Linked DNA regions of Lepisosteus oculatus. The protein of the gene in region 2 interacts with the protein of the main gene of each other region in a pairwise test. Links are inferred from orthologs where the notes say so. Each region holds a gene or a part of one and is shown on either strand. Other genes may lie near its edges. The genes, in order: sntg2, dtnba and brain-enriched guanylate kinase-associated protein.

What was found.
Region 1: the proteins of dtnba (region 2) and sntg2 interact in binary tests that used the Homo sapiens proteins (3 or more experiments, as listed by UniProt). The link is inferred for Lepisosteus oculatus from reciprocal best matches to the Homo sapiens genes DTNB and SNTG2.
Region 3: the proteins of dtnba (region 2) and brain-enriched guanylate kinase-associated protein interact in binary tests that used the Homo sapiens proteins (3 or more experiments, as listed by UniProt). The two-hybrid records come from large-scale screens. The link is inferred for Lepisosteus oculatus from reciprocal best matches to the Homo sapiens genes DTNB and BEGAIN.

What each region holds. Positions count from the first base shown.
Region 1 is NC_090697.1:42,477,335-42,481,092, forward strand, and holds the start of sntg2 (gamma-2-syntrophin), read right to left. Parts: upstream 2,981-3,758; 5' UTR 2,575-2,980; coding exon 2,506-2,574; intron 1-2,505. UniProt on the Homo sapiens protein: Adapter protein that binds to and probably organizes the subcellular localization of a variety of proteins. May link various receptors to the actin cytoskeleton and the dystrophin glycoprotein complex.
Region 2 is NC_090697.1:47,497,933-47,501,690, forward strand, and holds the start of dtnba (dystrobrevin beta), read left to right. Parts: upstream 1-1,166; 5' UTR 1,167-1,235; coding exon 1,236-1,312; intron 1,313-3,743; exon of another isoform or gene 3,744-3,758.
Region 3 is NC_090703.1:11,631,239-11,634,996, forward strand, and holds the start of brain-enriched guanylate kinase-associated protein, read left to right. Parts: upstream 1-1,355; 5' UTR 1,356-1,442; coding exon 1,443-1,727; intron 1,728-3,758. UniProt on the Homo sapiens protein: May sustain the structure of the postsynaptic density (PSD).

The DNA.
Region 1 (3,758 bases), about 5.0 Mb from region 2:
CCATCATGATTTACCCTTATATTTCAAAACCTGTTTAAACATTCTAAATGTGAAAATAAAAATTAAAAATAGGGATTTCATGAACAAATTTCAAAGCGCAACATGAACAGAACTGCAATGTCAGTGTATTGTGAAAACAACACAAAATAGTATCAGTGCCATATCATTTGCTTTACATAGCAAAACGTAAGGTTAATGAAACATAGACTGCATCCCGTATAAAGGCGACAATTATGTGAAAAGGACATGAGTGGTATAAAAATAGGTACATTGATCTAACCATCAATCATCTTTTCTGTGATGCTTGTGGTAAAGTAAAAATGAAGAGTATAGATTGGAAAGTTCCAAGTGAAAGTGATAAAGGGTATTCAACTGCTCACACGAATGTCTCTCTGCCAGGCAAAGGCAGCTCAGTCCCAATTTCAACAGACTACCATGTAACATATTTCAAAGATTTTGTTTTACTGGTGCACCATGTGACAAAATTGCAAATTGACAGACAACTGCCTTATCAATTACAGCTGGTTAGGGGGTCCACATACTAGACAAACACCTTAACACAATAGTGTTGACTATCTCCTCAAACTCTGCAGTAGTTTGTGTTGATCTCCAAAGAAGGTTGAGACAGGGTTTCTCAGCTGCAGCTGCGTAGGCTCGTTAGACCCTTGAGTCATTTCTGCCAAGCCTGCCTTGCTGCTAACAGTGGCAAAACACTTACTGATTCCATGTGAAAAATTACTTCTCCCACACTTGATCGCTTCAAACCTGGGAATGCCATAGACATAACAGCATTCATCTTCAGTTTTTATCTTCAAAATTGATCAATCATAATGTCCCATTCACATAATTTTCTGTTTTGGTTGGTTTGCAATATAGGTTAACATTTGCTACTTTTTTTAAAGATGTATCTGTTGTATCTCATCATATATGCCGTACTCATTAAAAGTGATAAAAAAGCATATAATCATAATAACAGTAATCAAGAAAATAAACTTTTACAAATTGGGTGCCGATCAATTAAAGCATTTAGCAGCATAAACAACTTCAACTCAGAAAGAGGCAGTGTGGCTAATATGATGAAAGAGTCTTGTACTGTACTTGATTAAGCATTCTGTGTTATGTAAGTGCCAATATCATGGGTGTCTGTCACTTTACAATCCCTTTATGTGTTACGTTTTAACAAAATATCTACCACAATCTGAAGTATATATATGTGTGTGAAAAGGTAGAAATCATATATTTTATCAATTAAATGGCAGTGATTTTCAGACATCAGTCCATAATTAAAAAGTGGGGGAGGAAATATACAGAACAACAGAAAATAAGAATCTAAATCACATTTAAAATTCAATTAAAACTGTTCAATGTCAATCACATTGACACAATTTCCTGCACTGTGCTAAAAATGGTATAATTCGTCCTTTGATAGATAAAGTACGCCATAGAAAGAGTGTCTAGAACCTTTAAGACTTCATACAGTATATTTACACAAATACTATATAATATGGCCACAAATCTATATGCTTATTAATGTTATCAGTAGGACTATCATTTCATTTGTTCCTTCTTGTATAAACTCCATAATTACAATTCTTTCTCCAGTGGTGTATGATAAGGATTAAGGTTTTTATGCTCTGCAAGTTTGCTTGGACTTAGCAAGGCCATTTTCAATATTCGTTGTCTGCTGTAAATCATTTTCTGTTTGCTGTGCTATTCTGAGTCATTAGATGGCTTTGCTTTCTAGGCATACAGTAATGTAACACAGGAAATTTTGCAATTACTAATCTCAGTGTAAAGTATATTCAGGTTACATATTGTACATACTGAAAACTACAGTGCTTTTCTCTAATGGTGAAAGAAGAAAAATAATCCAATTAATTTAACAATAACTCAATTGGAGTACACCTGCGTACACTATTAAACTGTTTTTGTCTTTTAATTCCAGAAATTCATAAAATTAAATTGGAAACTTATTTTACATCAAGAGATAATACTATTTTATATAGATATAATAACTTAAATTGACATTATTAGCTACTTCATGCTCATAACATCTCAAAAAATATTTATCTTTTCATTCTTATATTTTTGTTCAGAATTTTTGAAATCATACCCCAGATACAATATTGGCAACATTGCATAAGTACTGAACAGCTTGATAAAAAGAAACAAAAGTTTGAAGGCTCTGTTCATAGAGTAAGTTTCAGTATTTCACTCAAAATAAATTAATTGTTTGTAGAAGCATTGGCCAAATACCAACATTAAGGAACATGTGTATCACAAAAGAATCAAAATGATTGTTTCTGGAACTGTAGCATCACATCGTTCACATGCATCACATTTATGTCTCCTAACTTTATTTCACTTTTCTAATTCATAAAGAAAATCCAGCAAATCACATGAAACATTCTTACTTATTAAATCATATTCTACACATTGCTTGAAGCATGCATCTTCCACTTTGAGCAACGGCACAAAAAAACTGAGATATAGCAATCTACTTGCCCAAGTTGGTACAAGAAGGCTGTCAGGGCGCTCAAGCAGTTCTGAAGGGTGATTCCCGGCCACGTTCATTTCCCATTCAGCTGGAGGCTTTGAACATTGAACTCAGAGGGTCTGTTAACAGTCATTTATCCAACAATGCCAGGCTAATGCAGGCTATTGATGCATCCTTCCCCAGATTGTAAGAAACAGAGGGAGTGAGAAAGATGCAGCATGCTGTTTGCTTGCAGACGGAGAGGAATTTAATGGGATTATACCCTGCTTGCCACCAGGATGGCGTCAGAGCACTTTAATTTGACATTGGCTTCAGGTTTACACACCAGTGAAGGAAATCGGCCAGAGAGCCCAGTGATAAGAGACCCACTCTCTTTAAGTTAACTAACTCCTCAGGGTATGTCTGCCAAGCATTTGCTTCTTTTGATGCTGCTGCTAGTAGCCAGCTGCATAATGTGCTGTGGATGAGAGCTGTGTGCTGCACAGTTCAATCTGTGTACAGCATGTTGCCTTCTCCACCTGCTGGCTTTCCAGTTCTCCTCCCATTTGCCGAGTGATGACATTTCTGTGTGTTATGTATTAACTCCTGAGTGTCTGTTTCTTAAAATAATTAGTTGCACAGCATGCAGCTGCAAATGTCTACCCTGGAAAAGAGTGCTATGGAAGTAGTATTTATAGACTCAAGAAAATAATGTTAGCAACTGCAATTTAAATCAAATGGCTTTTCAATTCTTATCAATAAAATCATTATATTTGCCTAATTCACTGGACTCATTGTAGCTCTTTAGTTGACACCCATACATGAAGATACATTTACACTTTAATGGCATACAAATCAGATACAGAGACAGTCATTTACAGTAGATTGCAGAGCAAAGATTTCAAGACAAGCAAGCAGGAATTAGTCAAATGAATAATTCTATAATTGAATTGAAACACTATTGTAGCTCAACAAACAAAATATGTTCAGTTTTGATGAAGCTAACAAAAAATTGTATGTAATTCAAAGAAACCATTGTTGTGTTATTACTTTATTAGAATATTTATTTAGAGGATGTGATTTGCAAGCATAACTCTGGTTTTGCTATTATAATTGCTACAGGCATTATGATAATAGATTTGTCTAGCTTTAGTTGCGTATTAATGAAAAATTAGCTAATGTGAATGTTATATTATGAACCTGGCAGTTGTAGGCAAATGAAATAAATCAGGCTAAAATTTCAAAGATAAAATCAGGTCCTGACTTCAGCTTCCCTTGCAAC
Region 2 (3,758 bases):
TAGCAGCCAGACAAGCTAGATGGGTTGAATGGCCTTGTCACACTTATAATGTTATATTATGATATTATTTTATACAGCTTGATACAGATGAAAACAAACCTGTGTGTTTTGAAGTGGCTAATTCTACAATGCCGCTGACAGTGAGGGGAAATGCCACACCTTCATACAGTACATATACTGAATTGCAATCGCATGTAATGTGTATAATGCATGCAATGCAAAGGTTTTGCAAACAAAAAAAACTTAAAAATTTCGAAGTGTTTCATTTTGTTTAGCTTAAATTTTATTCAAGTTGAACGTAAGAATGGTTACAGATGAGAAGAGGCCATTTGATCCACCTAGCCTGTTTTGGTATGGTAATGAGCTACACAAATTAGAAAGTCAGTTCTGAAATTTGAACCTGCTCTTTCTGAAGCCCTTAAAACTTCTACATTGTTGTTTCATAACATTTATTTGTCTTAAAGTCAACATTGGCTGTCTTATGATAGCAGCTGTAGTCTTTGCTTTTGAAAGAAGCTATAAATTAAGAGTTATGCAGTTTAAATCAATGAAGATATTTTAGTACTGCTGCTTAAATGATTGTAGCCAACTTATTTATGACTAAATGTTCGTTGCATTTAGTAAATATTTTTTTTATTTGGTGTTGTATGATTGATTGTATCATTTTGGATTATATTGCTTAAATTCCACTGTATATGGGAGATTTTGCCATCATTTTACCACTAAAAGCTACGTGTTAGGCCATATACATATTTTCTAACTAATGCCTAAACATACCACCTTGTTATTTTATCTCATTAATATAGATCTTGGCTTGATTTCTTGAATGTGTTAAAGGGTTACCAGTATAAACTGCAAAAGCAATGAGGCACATACTGTAGTGCCAAATTTATTGCTGTCAGAAGGTTATGGTGTTAAAGATATACAGTGCAATATTGTAATGAAATTAACATTCAGCATACATGATCCGTGTATATACTTATTCTCCTTTCTGTATGTAAATTTAAGGTGTTGAGAACCTCACTGTTGTTTAAAACATTGCAGTGAGATGTTATCATGAAATACGGTGTAGAAACTGTAGGCTGTATGTCTCTTTTTTCATTATTTTCTCTTTCACTCTGGCTGTGCATATCCATGTCCTGAGGAGATGCACACAAAAAGGCAGATGGGTTCACTGAGTCCTTCAGGGGCCAGAGCTGGTTCATCACATCTAACTGAGCCGGGTTGTCAAATCCATGAAGCCACTTGTTTACTGTGGCTGCTACCAGAGTCAGCAGTCATGGGAGGCACACAAAATGACTGCAATTATCAGGTACTTCTACAATAGTGACTCAGCATCACACGGCTGTAGTTCTTATGTAAATATGGCTGACAGCCTCCTGGATCTTGACAAAGGGTGGTGTGTACTGTTGAAATCTAGTTCTGTGTCTCATGTTGGTGTTAGTAAAGCACACGTACATCAGATGTGAGATACATACAGTTTTTAGGAACAACTAGTTTTTGAAAAAAAATCAAAAGTGTAGCAGAAAATATTTTTAAAAATAAATAACATTTTTATGTAATTAAAAATAGTTTAATAAAAATCCCAGAAAGCAACTATTCTTCCAGAGAGGAATTATGATTAAAAATAGTTATGTATTTACAAATCATTCAAGTACATTCATCTTGAGAATACAAGACCTTCATTTCTTATCCTCAATTTAAAGGAAGCTATGCCTTGTTGTTGTCAACCTTTTTAAAGACTTCAGCAGCTATCAAGAGTAGTTCTCAAAAGACTTAAAACAGATAAACTTACAGTTAGGGAGTAAATATGTGACGACAATGATTGAAAATGCTAAATGTCCCTGGCTGTTTTCCATTTTCAAAAGGTCCTGCTTTGTATCAGCCTCCTTCCCATCTGCAAACTTTGCAGTATTTAAGTTTTTGGGAATTGAATTTTGTATTTTATATTTTTTCTACTACCTAAGCAGTTTATTTTAAAAAAATGTCTTTTTTTAAAAAAATATTATTTGAATATTATAACAAGTAATCACTTAGTTGGCCCATATGTTATCTCATATAATTGAGCCCATATACTTATATACAGTATTTCATCTCTTTAGAAAGTTAGAATTTTCCAATAAAATGTCCATTTGAGTGGAATATCATTGTGGAAATAACATTTTGAGACCTGTGTCCCATTTGTTGATGCAACCCTGGCTCCAGTAGTGCTTCAATCTTTAATCAGAATAATATTTGTCCCCCTATAGGTTTAAAATACATTTATCTTGAGCTTGTGGATCTTTCCTTGGTCCTCCATGTTACCAGTATTGTTACTCCAAATACCTTCTTGTGAAACGAGTCTAGTAGATGTGTGGCTCAACCATTTTGTTGAGACAAATGTGTTCATGACAGGGTGCCATTATCTTGTAAAGGGAGAATAAGAATTCCTTGCTTATTCATCCTCTGCTCAATGAACTGTCCATTGAAGAGCTCAGCAGTCTTTTGTTCTAACTTCTGTTTCAATGAGGACAGTTAAAGGTTTAGCATCAGTCATCACCAAATAACGTCACAGATCTGACAACTTAATACAATGAGAAGAATTGAGCTACCCAGGTGTTGGTCTCTTATGCAAGTGTATTGGAAATGTGATGTATTCTGTAACCATATGCAATGTGACTTGCAAGGTTCTTTCTCAAAATTCTCTTTACAGATGATTAGATATCAAGTCAAAACACACAAAAAAAATTCTAACTGCATCCCAACTAATATAAATTGGAAAGTAATTTTAATTGTAACATTATGTATTAGTATTATAATGAAAAATGAAGCATCCGTGTATATGAGGACTGTATAATACTCCTACTGTACATTTTCTAAATCAGCATACACTTAATTTATTAAAACCTACATTAAAACCTAAAATATACTAAAAAGAAAACTTTTTCTGTTTAACAGTGGTGAAAGGCATTGTTGATACTGTAGATGAAGAAATCAGAAACAGGTTTTGACTGCTTACTTGTGATTATACATAATGAAATCCATATGATCAGAGAGCTTAACTTTCAAATACTCTGTGATTAAGTTGTTTGAGCACTTGTGATCTTAGTTCCATATACAGTACTGTAGTTTAAAAACTAGTGACAATCTGGTGTTCTGCCATTGTTATTATAAGTATGCAAACTAACTTGATTTTTAAGAGATCTTTTTATCAAAGATAAAAGGTTATATCAAAGGTTTCTGATAATGAAATATTTACCATTTATTGTCGCAAATGATAAATTCAATGGGAATGATACTTTCTGTACAACTTCCTGTTGCTTACCAACTGTTTAAACTGCTTACTTGATGTAGTTTGATGACATAGTGTACCATACAGCAGGTCACATTGACTAAATCTGATGGCTTAACTTGTCGTGTTTTACTAATGGGTTATGCTATTTCAAGACATTTTTATCACTTTGATGGATTCTGCTGCCTCAAAAGTGGGGAGGGAGATGTTTAAATTGAAGGACCGGGTGAAATTAAATCTGATATACTGGATAGCATTCTTTTTAACTCCTCTTTGGAGCCTGTGAGACATAAGAGAGAAGGAAAGGTCAGCTTTTCACATGGTTTCATTTTTTTCTACCACAGAATATCCTCGGTATACAGCTCAAAATATTATATTGGCACAGTCCTTGTCCAACCCAAAGACAACTGACACAGCAAGCAATAAACTGAGAACCCATGAAACGGTTCAAACTGAAAAAGTCAAAGAGAAAAGTTGTGTAAAGCCA
Region 3 (3,758 bases), on a different chromosome or scaffold from region 2:
ATACAGTACTATACACTATATACAGTACAATGTACTGTATGTGTTTAATAGGTCTTAATAGTGTGTGAGAGGGGTAGATGTATATACCATCCTACCCACTACAACACATCCTGTGAACTTGTTACCCCTAGGAACTGCACCTATGATGAGGTGAATTGTTTGACCTGTCATCTTGAGACATAGAACTCCCTCAACACTTTACAAGATATTAATGGCTCCATCAATGGCATTTTAATACGCCTGAACCAGGACAGATGATTTCTGTCGCAGACAATAAACAACACTCACTGCATGTCACTGAACTCCATAACTACATTTCTAGCCATTGATTTATAGCACTCTAATTCCGCTTCACCACTCACATCCAAAAAATACCATGTGGCATCTACAATCAATATCCCATACCGTGGAGCCACTGACCTAGAAAACCTACTGTTTTTTGTTGTATCACATATCAATAGGCTGCCTAATTAGCAAATGCAGAGAGAAAAATAGTATCTTTTTGATTGATCCCTTGTGTCATTTTAAAATGGATACATATAGTATAAAAATTCACAAAGCCATAAAATGGTCTTTCCTTTTTTTTCCAAAACAGTGAACTGTGTGGCTTTCTTTTTGGCAATGAAGAAGGTAGAGTCAGCATGGGAGAGGTGATGGGTTTGTGCCCATTTGGATATTCAGAACAAGTACCGTATGTGATTGGGTGAATAACACTTTAAAAACAGTGACGCTCACTGGACCATGATTCAGTTGTCAATTCACACAATTAGTGATTGCACATCTCTAACCCCAAAATGCAGAGCCGCTCAGTCAGAGTGGCCAAAGTGGCTTCTGGTGCCCCTCGTCAGCAATGCAGACCAGGGACAGCAGGCAGTAGGCAGGATACAGCCTCTTCCTGCTCATCCTCTTCCTGTTCGCCATTTACAGATGCTGGCAGTGACAGGGAGAACTCCCTTCACTATCACCCGGGTTTCTTCTTCCCCACCAGGAGACCAAAAAATTGCAGCTCCAGTGAAGAGGACAGTCAATGTGATACAAACAGTGCCGATTCAGAAGTCACATGCCTCATTAGGAGCTCCACTGAAAGGAACAACAGGGAGATCTTTAGAGGTCATCTAAAGTCTAGCAGGGAATTTTGCAGCTCATGCCCCAGTACGGGCAGAAGGGGCTGCGCTCGGTCCGAGTGCCAGGAAGAGACAGAGAGGGCTGGGAGTGGTTCTGAGCAGAGCTTGACCTTCAGTCAGGGTTCTGATGCCACGTCAGCGGTGCTAGAGCAAAAGATCGAAGCCAAACTTAAGTTCTCCCAGTTCCTGGATGAGGTGACCTTCAGAGTGCTGGATCCCCAAAGCCTGAAAGCCTTCAGGGTTTTGGACAAGAAGGACTCCCATGTTCAGTCAACAACTCCACTGTCTGTCTGCCGATTCTCTGAGGAAACCGAAAGCATGAGAAGGGCGCAGGAAGCTGGGAACCAGCAAGAGCCTGCTGGGAAGGCTTACCTCGAGACTGACATAGACAGCGTAAGGAGCGAGGACACCCCTGAAGCAGCCAGTCCAAAGGGAATCGAAAAAGATGCTCCACAAGAGAGGGAACAAGCAGGAACATCCTCCACAAATGAGATCCAGGAAGAGCCTGAAAAGATGAGGTCCCCCAGTCCAATCTTCAACAGACATCAAGGCACTCAAAAATCGCCTTTCAGGTCTACTTCTTTGCCAAGGGGCTTAAGCTTGGTGAGTACATGCTCTTGGATGTACAGTATGAAACACAACCCCTCTCAGAAAATTGCATACCCTCTCAGCCTTTGAGAAACTGCACTTAAAGATCATCTTGAACCACTTGTAAAACGATTTATTTTGTTCAAAACCGGACATTCCTGCACTTACTGTATTAATGCCTACACAGCACTTTATTTTGGAAACTGAAATACCTGTAATGTATCAAGCTTTCAAAGAAACATCTCATGTACTGTATCTTGATGTGAAGTAAATGTAGGAACTAGAAGTGGATCTGATGTTTTGAGGACATCCCTTTTTCCTTTTTTCTTTTCTTGTTGAATAGTTTTAAAGCTTGCTTACAGACACTGATTACATTTTCTTTATCAATTATTTGCTTCATATCAGCTTTCATCCATCCTTTGACCTTACAGATATATCCCTTTCAAAAATGTTTGCAACTCAGCAACAAATGTAGGGCATATTTATTTTTTATTGATTAAAATAATGCTCAGGCTATAATCTTGATGTTATCTATCAACAACCTCCATTAATTAATAACTATGTTACACAAAAATAAATGCATGTATATACTGTATTCTTAAAACTGCAATATCTGCAAAAAATACATTAGCGCAAATTGCTGTAGCAGGAATGACAACATGAAGTCTTTGACAATGATTAAGCATTATAACTTTTTCCTTTACGGCCCTTTAAATAACTGTTTTTTGACCTCCTTATCTGGACAAGTTATCGTTAATTCCTGGAGAAGAATTTGACCCAAGCATATTAATTAACCCACTGAGCTCACTTGCTCGAAGTCTTTCATTATCTTGGATGTGTTTTCAATTCTATTCTCAATCGGGGCGCTTATATCTTGGTGCTGTGCTTGCTGTGTGCAAATTTCATTCCTTTCTAAAAGCAGTTCAAAAATATGCAGAAAAATGAATGACAAGCTCTCTTTCTCCTGCAGAGGGGGCGTAGAGGGAGGTACTCATAGTCTTTTTTTAAAGCCTCAAGCAGATCTGCTTTCTTGCACCAGAGTGAGAGATTGAGTATGTCCCACAATCAGAAGCATGCCTCTGAAAGCGCACTACATTAATAATGCACATCCAGTGCATTTCTTTTTTCTGATCTTTTGTTGTGATTTTTAAATACCATCAGCTAGAGGTAATTTTTTGGCAGCTGGATTACCTCATTATGTAGGACATAGACATGAAGTAAATGATGAAGTAAAAATGGAACATCTCTCTTGTTTCTGCTTAGAATTCAGTTTTTTCTATCACCTTAGCAACTGTTCGAGGGACTGAGAAAATGCCTGCACAACCAGTTATATACAGCGAACACCATACCATACTTTTCCCGTGTCTGAGTGAAATGCTTCAACTGCATCCTTCATGCAAATGAATAAAATATGAAGATAGAAATGTGCTTGGGGTATAGAGAGTGCCCCAGTGCTGCAGTAAACATTGTGGATGCCTGCATCAGAACACTGTGTGTGCGTTTGTGTGTGTGTGTGAGCGCGTGTGGGTGGATGTGTGTGGGTGGATGTGTGTGTGTGCGTTCAGTATTTGCAGACATGACCAGTTGTTTCGTAGTCCGTTCTCACTCATGACTGAGAAGCAGCTATACTGTAAATGTGAAAAAAAGACATTCTAAGACAAAATTCCACTCAGGTAGAAACATAAAGGTCAGAATAAAATCTTTGTCAGGCAGACAAATTGCAGCCCTTGACCTCAGCTGCTGGATTTTCTCATGTCCATTCACCGATCTGCCTTGTTTATTGTTTTTTTAATTCAGTCTTACTGAAGGATAAACCTCTAGGTTTTCTTTCACTAGTGCCTAAACATAATTCGAAATGCAAAACCATTGGATAGATGTTCAGTAACTGAAACTGCCCCTTCAAAAAAAGGGAAAGTTAAAATCTCAATAATGTTATCCTTCAATTTAAGTGAAATTCAATATCGGGAGCACTTCAAACTTGTAATTGTAACGTGAATGTTTTGGTCTTTAAATGCAACACTGGCATTCGCTGCAGGTTTGTTTCAA